Arabidopsis thaliana: one gene and its partner. The protein of the gene in region 1 interacts with the protein of each later gene in a biochemical or structural test. Each region holds a gene or a part of one and is shown in the gene's direction. Other genes may lie near its edges. The genes, in order: ANN5 and ACT1.

Evidence for each region.
Region 2: the proteins of ANN5 (region 1) and ACT1 form a complex in vitro, tested with the Arabidopsis thaliana proteins (one study listed by BioGRID).

Annotation. Positions count from the first base shown.
Region 1 is NC_003070.9:25,518,741-25,522,785, reverse strand, and holds ANN5 (annexin 5), read left to right. Parts: upstream 1-1,890; 5' UTR 1,891-2,011; coding exon 2,012-2,087; intron 2,088-2,166; coding exon 2,167-2,312; intron 2,313-2,392; coding exon 2,393-2,611; intron 2,612-2,677; coding exon 2,678-2,893; intron 2,894-2,978; coding exon 2,979-3,068; coding exon of another isoform or gene 3,069-3,077; exon of another isoform or gene 3,078-3,140; coding exon 3,141-3,344; 3' UTR 3,345-3,481; downstream 3,482-4,045. Other genes in the region: IAR1 (ZIP metal ion transporter family), read right to left, coding at 1-212, 301-423, 556-607, 780-829, 971-1,054, 1,146-1,461; AT1G68080 (2-oxoglutarate (2OG) and Fe(II)-dependent oxygenase superfamily protein), read right to left, coding at 3,546-3,875, 4,014-4,045.
Region 2 is NC_003071.7:15,777,071-15,782,363, forward strand, and holds ACT1 (actin 1), read left to right. Parts: upstream 1-1,870; 5' UTR 1,871-2,257; exon of another isoform or gene 2,258-2,419; intron 2,420-2,680; 5' UTR 2,681-2,690; coding exon 2,691-2,750; intron 2,751-2,886; coding exon 2,887-3,280; intron 3,281-3,380; coding exon 3,381-3,994; intron 3,995-4,105; coding exon 4,106-4,171; 3' UTR 4,172-4,491; downstream 4,492-5,293. Other genes in the region: AT2G37610 (uncharacterized protein), read right to left, coding at 1-174, 494-603; AS1 (myb-like HTH transcriptional regulator family protein), read right to left, coding at 4,728-5,293. UniProt on the Arabidopsis thaliana protein: Actins are highly conserved proteins that are involved in various types of cell motility and are ubiquitously expressed in all eukaryotic cells.

The DNA of each region.
Region 1 (4,045 bases):
ATCTGTAGAGCCGCCAGAGACTTTCTCTGATGAATTTACAATTGCATCAGAAGAAGATTGTTGGTCCAAGTTGTTATGATCGCCTTCATCCTTCAGTTTCTTACTGCCTGCATGGTGGTGGTGGTGATGATGACCCCAAGTATTGGACCCAGATGAGTTTTCTTCGACATACCGCACCAACTTCTCCACAAGAAGGAAGACCACAATCCCAGCTGGATAATTAAGAATGATGATTGAAAGTGTCAATTCTGTCAAAATATTTTGTTCAATAAACACAAGAGGAAGTGTTATGATACTTACCAAGAACAGACAATCCAACAGACAAATCTTGTATAGAATGTGAGTGTGAAGGCGAATCCGAATGAGAATGATCATGATGGTCATGGTTCTCATGGTGATCATTAGAGTGAGAGTGGCCACCACCTGCCAAACCATAAATATATTTTGCACTTCAGGAAGATATAAAAGCAAACAAAATGAGAAGGCATAAAAGCCAAATTATGAAACAATGCAGATACTAAAAAAGAGATCAGAAACTTGTGTCCATTACTGTACCAAAAGCATGGGGCAGTTGGTGAAGAAAAGCATCTCCCAACATAGCTCCTGCCTGGTAAACAAATTAACTGAATCAACAGATCATATATTATTAACATTTCCAACTCATCCAAGTGATAAAGTTGCGACGAAACACAGTGTATAGATATTGCTAAAATATTTTTCTTGCATTCAGAACCACCACCGCCAAAGAAAAAGCTACTGTAGTCAGTCTAATGACTTACCCCAAAGAGAGCCAAAGAATCAACGAACCATTTTGATGGCTTCCCTTGAACTGTTAGTTGCAACATAAGACTTGAAACAGTTACTCTCATGAACACATTATAGCACATGAATAAACGAAAGAGAGCATTTTCTCCAGGACAATTAAAAGCAATGCTTTTTGGTTTTCATAGGTATACAAAAAATTGCTTACCAAACATAATGGGAAGCAAAACAAGGCAGATGAGTGAGGCCAAGCTAACTAAAAGAGAGCATCCCAATGCATTAAGCCACAGAGCTACAAAAACCAACAAGAAGAAGAGATTCTAATCATCAAGTAATGATTTGTAAAACCCAATGAAGAATGTAGCTAAAGGAACCAAATTTACCAAACCCCGTAAGAGTGGAACTTGATTCGTGATCGTGATCATGAAGACAAGGCCCAAACCCACATAATCTCATATCCTCCTCTTCAGCAAGCTCCTCCGGCAACTTCATCTCCACCTTCGCCGTCGTCTTCTTCACATGATGATCATGATCGTGGTCGTGGTCGTGGTCATGAGAATGACTACACCCACCACCGTGATGATGCACGTGATCGTCACGCGCCGGCGTTGACTGAGAGAATCCGGATTCAACGCACAGATCCAGAAACAGTACCAAAACCAGAATCGGAACCAGTAGCTTTCTCAGCGAGAACGACATCTCTGAGTGAGCTAAGAAGAGCGACGGTTGAAGCGAGTGCCTTCAATAGTGATGAAGCAGACGATGCAGAAGAAGAGAATGATAATTCCGATTATGATTCCGAAAGTGACAACATCCATTTGGGGAAAGTAATAAACCTTAGGAGATCTTTTTATAATTTGTAGTTTTGGCCCATTGTTTCGAAATTAAGTCGAAAACCCCCTTTTACTAGGCTACAGACTCTACACAACTCTTATAAAAGTCTTTATGTTGATGATAATCATGAAACATAGAGATATCTATCGGATCCTAAAAAATGTTATCCGTTAAATTTTATGCATCAAAGCATCCATCGTTACACGAATGAAACAGAGGATTCAACTCCTAAAATCAAGGTCTAATGTCCATTTCCTTTGCATATTTCAACCCAAAACCCAATCGCCACAAATCACACCACACCAACAAAACAAAAGAAAAAACAAAATCAAGAGAATACAACAAAAAAAAGAAAGAAGAAAGGTATAGAGTTTTACAATATCTTCTTCGGAATCTTTAGAGGAAGAAAGAAAAAATGGCAACAATGAAAATACCAATGACGGTACCTTCTCCTCGAGTCGATGCTGACCAACTCTTTAAGGCCTTCAAAGGTACGTACGCATTCGCTTCTTATGTAGTTTATAACAACTTGTTTTGTTACATTTTAGTTTATATTTTCGCAATTTGCAGGAAGAGGCTGCGATACTTCGGTGATCATCAACATCTTAGCTCATCGCAATGCAACACAACGAGCTCTCATCGAACAAGAATACGAAACCAAATTCTCGGATGACCTCCGAAAACGTCTCCACTCTGAGCTTCATGGTCATCTCAAGGTAAATAAATCTTAGCCTTACAAAAAAACTTTTATTCATGATTTTAGCAGACAACATTTTGAAAACGTTTTTGATTTCAGAAAGCCGTTCTTTTGTGGATGCCTGAAGCAGTGGAGCGAGACGCTTCAATACTGAAACGCTCCTTAAGAGGAGCCGTGACTGATCATAAAGCGATTGCTGAGATTATATGCACACGATCTGGCTCTCAGCTTCGTCAGATCAAACAGGTCTACTCAAACACTTTCGGTGTGAAACTTGAAGAGGACATCGAATCCGAAGCTTCTGGCAATCACAAAAGAGTATGTTTTCTCTATTTGATCCATGCTTTTGGTTCAAATAGTAATAGAAATTGTAATATGTAACAGGTTTTGCTCGCGTATTTGAACACTACGCGATATGAAGGACCAGAGATCGATAATGCGAGTGTAGAGAACGATGCTAGGACTCTCAAGAGCGCGGTTGCAAGGAAGCATAAATCTGATGACCAGACGTTGATTCAGATATTCACTGACCGAAGCAGGACTCATTTGGTCGCTGTAAGATCTACTTACCGTTCCATGTACGGCAAAGAACTTGGAAAGGTATATAATCAAGATCCAGAAACTTGTTACTCAAGAATCAGAAAATTTCCAAAATCTTGATCTTCTCTTTCTCCAATCTTGATAGGCCATAAGAGATGAGACTCGCGGGAACTTCGAGCATGTCCTTCTAACAATTTTACAATGTGCTGAAAACTCTTGTTTCTATTTCGCAAAGGTAACGTAACCTAACCTTTCTTAGACAACAATGTAGGGTTTCGAGTTTACAAAACGAAAACTGAAAGCGCAGGCATTGAGGAAATCAATGAAAGGATTAGGAACAGATGACACGGCGTTGATAAGAATCGTGGTGACGAGAGCAGAGGTGGATATGCAGTTCATCATCACAGAATACCGTAAGAGATACAAGAAGACTTTGTACAATGCTGTTCATTCTGATACAACTAGTCATTACAGGACTTTTCTCCTCTCTCTTTTAGGCCCCAACGTTTGAGATCTCTTTCTGTATCCAATCCCAAAATTAACTTTGATTCTCTGTATCTTACAAAATTACTTGCAACAATCTTGAAGGATATTATAACATGATTATGTGTAAGATCAAACAAAGAGATAATTGAGAAGCTGTTCTTTGAAGCCAAGAGAATCACTTTCAAGTTGTTAACTACTCAATTCAACAGTAACTCAGAATTCATTTCTAATCAGATTCCACTTTGTGTATAGTTTGATAAGTTTTCCATTGAGGCAAGGATGATAATAGCTCCTTGAGTAACTTACAGCTATACTCTTCCCAAGAGGTAACCGCGAGAGCTATACCCGTCAAGTCGAGTGAATCCTTTCGATCCTCACCAGAGCACGAATATCCAAAAGTTGTGGCTACGAGGTTCTCATCTAGCAGGAAAACTGATTTCAGGGCATTGATAGTTTCCAACTGAGAGTGGGACATAGCTTTCACCTCTTCTAATGTGTCATTTTCGACATTAGAAGTTACGAGTTCAGAAGCTTTCCAATGGTAGAACTGAACAACCTATTATCCAGCAAAAGAGAAGAAATAAGCATTTGATTATATATGATGAAAGGAAGCCCGTTTAACAAGACATTTACTATATCAACTAATCACTAACGACCTCGAAGAAACTCATGTGAATGTCAAAGAGAAAAGTACCTGAAGAGCATGAAGAATGTTGGCAAATTTTC
Region 2 (5,293 bases), on another chromosome or scaffold:
CCATCATTCTCTTCCTCCACAACTTCTTCTTCTTCTTCTTCATCTAATCTCTTCCTTTTCAGACAAATATCCAACACAAGTTTATCGTCGGAACATTCTTCTTCTCTCGTCTCTTTAACACCACCTAACGTTACCTCTTCCTCTTTCAAGCTCGTCTCCGACATACCTAAAAATCTATAAAAATCAAGAAATGGCACCCAAAAAAAAAACTCTTGTTCCTAGATAGAGAGAGAGAAGAGAATGAGAAGAATAAGAAGAAGAAATAATGATTGATCGATGTAGATAGATCCAACGTGGTAAAGAATATTAATCAAGAAAATTGTCAGCTTTTGTTTTTTTATTAAATTATTTTTCAGGTTTATTTATAGTCGGAGATTAGAGCGAGTTTGTTGTGTATTGTTGGATGTGGTAAGGAGAGTCTAAAGGCATACATAACGTAACCAAACCCTCTGATTCATTGAGAAGGAGACATTATTCGACATAATACCGTTACGATAACCATAATATCTCGTCGATAAAGTAATCAAAATATCGCCGATGCCTTTCTGCTTCTCGCAAGTTAAGCACCAAATTGACATCTGCCTTTACGTTTCCAATCTCCATGTGCGCTTTTTTTTCTTCTCAGGAGGAAAAAAATATATTTGTTGCCGTTAGACTTTAATTACGTATCTAACTCATATTTATTACCACCTAATCTTATTGCTAATAACTTTTGTGTATTTATAAGGAGGAGACCCACTCTTATAGTTTTACATTAATGACTTCTATGATCAGTTTAGATAAATATTTTTCCTCAACCGGACTAAATGTATTCTTCTATATATATATAATTAGGATAAACATTTTATGTAAGAAATCTAAATATTGTTTAGTTGAATGTAAGAAAGTTTTTTGGTGTAAATGTTAAGAAATGAATGTAAGAAAGTTTTCTTCCCTATTCATTTTTTTGTCTTAACTTTGGTGATTTCATGATATTTATTTCATTTAAGAATAGGAAATCGCTTGTGAAATTGGAAGCAAATTAAGAAAATACATGATAGAGCTTTTAAAAGTGTGGATGACCTTTCAATACATATTTGCTTGGAGGCGATGGTGAAAAACTGAAAATGACATCAGATACACGCTTGTGAACCATCTTTAAAGTATTGATGGACTCTTCACTATGAAAGCTCTCTTTAAAATTAATTTTCTTTGTACATGTCTCTAAGCAATGTCAAATTAATTAGAGGTCCAAATTCAAAAAAATGTCGTATTGAATCATTCCATTACTAAATTGGTTCAATGTCAGATTTAAACAGCCTAGGGATAATTTAGTGAGATATGAGATTCTACTTTCAACATATACTAATCCTAAATCTCTAGCAACTTTTTATATAAGCTATAAATATCATGAAAATGTATTTTAATCGTTTCATAATTTATGCAGTCACACTAATGGAAAAAAGGCCAATTATTATTATTTTCTTCAGACTATAAATGAAAACATAAATTAAAATGCAGATTAGTTTAAAATTTTAATAAGTAAGTAAAATGCTTATAGCCTTATACAAAATCATATTTGGAAGTTTCTAACATTGTTGCAATTTGTTATCACAAATCACAGTAATATTTGTATACTAATTAGTAATTACAACTATACACAAATTTAAATGGGTAATCATATATTTGTGTCCAGTGGATTGAACAAATATGCTCGGCCCATGCGGAAGTAATGCCAATTTTGGGTGAGTAAAGCCCATGCGAAATTTTCACATAAGAAATGCATGCTTTTTGTTTTCAACGACATGAGTTGCATGCTTTTTATCATTGCTTATATAGTTGCAAGTTTGCAACTCCTTGATATTTTTTTTATGTAGACACTACTACCACCAAAAACTTTTGGTCTGCTTATTCTTGTTTACTATGTAAAAAAAATAAATGAATTGTTTATTTACTCCGATTTGATGGAGTCTGGTTTATGAGGTTTTATAGCCTTTACAGAAAATTGATAGTTACAAAAATATTTTTCAAAAATAAAAGGGTAAAACCGTCATTTCAAGTTGTTATTGTTTTGGGGGACTGGATTTGAAATGAAATATAGAACCGGAAAACAAGGTGAGCCGAAGTCGAAGCCTTTGGACCCGTTTTTATATTTACTCCTCCCATTCCCTTCTCCTTCAATCCTTCCTTCCTCCTCCTCCCTTCTTCTTCTTCCCCTCTTTCATTTTCCAGCCACTACAAACTTTTCTATCTCTACTTTTTTTCCTCTCGATTTCAGGTACTTTTTGAGACCCTTTGTTGTGATTTTCGAACACACACCCCAATTACGTTTGATTTTTGATCCCGCATCGATTTCAATTCATCCGTTTCTGAGTTTCTTTTGGATCTGGGTGTCTTGAGCTAATCTTTTCGATCTGTTGTTTATCGATTTTACTCATGCGTATGTTCATTACACCATTTGTTATTTGTTTAATCAACCAAAAGACTCATGTTTTTCAAATGTCTTTAATATAATTTTTCTGATTGAATTTTATAATATTTACATGATTCTGGATCCAGAATATCCTTCTTCTTCTTCCATTTTGTCCTGTATTGATTTGTCTTTGAAAAAGGATTGTTCTTTGTATCTGTATTGGTGAAAAAGGATTGTTATTTGTTGATAAAAATTTGATCTTTAAACAATGTTTGGTTTTGCATAAAGGTAGAAGAAAATGGCTGATGGTGAAGACATTCAACCTCTTGTTTGCGACAATGGAACTGGAATGGTTAAGGTGTGTCATTCTTTCTCTCTGTTTTTTTTGACAAAAGTTTTCATCTTTTTTTCAATTTTTGATTGATGATCCTCTGAACAATGTAGCATTTGTTTTTTTTTGTTTAAGATGATGATGTTCTTTTGTATTGGAATAGGCTGGTTTTGCTGGGGATGATGCACCTAGAGCTGTGTTTCCTAGTATTGTGGGTCGTCCTCGTCACACCGGTGTGATGGTTGGGATGGGGCAAAAGGATGCTTATGTTGGCGATGAAGCTCAATCCAAACGAGGTATTTTAACTCTCAAGTACCCTATTGAGCATGGAATTGTCAACAATTGGGATGACATGGAGAAGATTTGGCATCACACTTTCTACAATGAGCTCCGTGTTGCTCCTGAGGAACATCCTATTCTACTTACCGAGGCACCGCTTAACCCGAAAGCTAATCGTGAGAAGATGACTCAAATCATGTTTGAGACTTTCAATGCCCCTGCTATGTATGTGGCTATTCAGGCTGTTCTTTCTCTTTATGCCAGTGGTCGTACTACCGGTGAGTGTAGCGCTTTTGTGTCCTTATGGTGTAAAGCTTCGATCTTTGTACATTTTTGCAGAGCAAAACGTAAAGCCTTTCTTGAATTGTGGATGTGCAGGTATTGTGCTCGACTCTGGAGATGGTGTGAGCCACACTGTTCCTATCTATGAGGGGTATGCACTTCCACATGCTATCCTACGTCTTGATCTTGCTGGTCGTGACCTCACGGATGCGCTGATGAAGATCCTAACCGAGCGTGGTTACTCTTTCACCACCACAGCAGAGCGTGAAATTGTCAGAGACATAAAGGAGAAGCTTTGCTACATTGCTCTTGACTACGAGCAGGAACTCGAGACAGCCAAAACCAGCTCATCTGTTGAGAAGAACTACGAGCTACCTGATGGGCAAGTGATCACCATTGGATCAGAGCGATTCCGTTGTCCTGAGGTTCTTTACCAGCCATCTATGATTGGTATGGAGAATGCTGGTATCCATGAAACCACCTATAACTCCATAATGAAGTGTGATGTCGACATCAGGAAGGACTTGTACGGTAACATTGTGCTCAGTGGTGGAACCACAATGTTCCCTGGAATCGCCGACAGAATGAGCAAAGAGATCACTGCTTTGGCTCCAAGCAGCATGAAGATCAAAGTCGTTGCCCCTCCAGAGAGGAAATACTCTGTCTGGATTGGAGGGTCCATCTTGGCCTCCCTCAGTACCTTCCAGCAGGTACACACAGTCCCATCACTTGTTTACTCTAAACAGACCTAAACTAAATCCTAATCACTCTCAGCTTAACTAAACTGGTTCAATTCTGAAACTATGTGTTACCTTGTGCAGATGTGGATCGCAAAGGCAGAGTATGACGAGTCAGGTCCATCGATTGTTCACAGGAAGTGCTTCTGAGTTCAAAGTTGATCATTTTTCAGAGAAGAAGCACCGCCAGGGTTTTTCCGACCATTTCTCAAGCCGGGTTTTTAATCTTCCGTTATTCTGCTCTTTGTTTTTGTTCTCTTATGTTTTGAAATTCATGCCAAATACATTTTCATGGATTTATGGTAATCTGTTTGTAGTATGGTTTAAAATCTAATGCAACTGTGTTTTTGAGTGAATAAGTACACACCTCTTCCTCTTCAATTTTTCAATTATTATGTAACAATTTGTTTTCTGTCTTCTACTTGAATTTACACATGTAAAGATATAAATCGATTTTATTTATAAACCAAAGTGTTGCAGCTGACTAAATCAACATCAAGCTTGAGAAAACAAAGCCATGGATAAACTGAAGTGATAAATGGAACACAAAGGTAAAAGAAACAAATACAAAGCTGAGGTAAGGAACCCAAAAGTCTAAGTAAACATTGGAGACACCCAAATGATCAAAGACAAAAAAAAACAAAAAAAAACAAAAAAAAAACCTTACATTACATTACAAGTTACAACAAAGAGTTTAGGAGACGGTTCAGGGGCGGTCTAATCTGCAACCCATTTGTTGTTCAAGAAACTTGGTGAGTCTGATATGCCTAGAGGTCCATTGATCAGCCAGTTTCTGGTCTTTGGCCTCTGCGTCTCGCCTCAAACCAACGAGCTGTTCTCTGTACTCTCCTTCGATCTTCTCCATTGCGTTCTTCTGCTCTTCCCTAAGAGCTTTCATCTTTGCCTCAATCTCCTCCATCTTCTCCCTTTGTCTACACGTCTTCTCTGACTCTAGCTGCAGCTCCAGCCTTCTTAGCCTCCATGCAGCCTCTTTCTTATGGTCTGCCCAAGCTCGGTGCCCTTCCTCCAACTCTCTACAACACTCCACAAGCTCTGACAAGAACACACTCTCGCTACTCCCACTACAAGACGGCATCATACTCCCTAACACAAGTCCCCCTGGACCGTTCTCTGCTCTCTCAGGCTGTTGCTGCTGCAGCCACGGGATTGGCGGTTGAGGCGCAGCTGCAGCCACTGTGGAAGGCGATAATGTCAAAGTTACCGAGGGAGGCCTTGCAACAACATTGTTCCCATTGTTAGAAGTAGCTAACC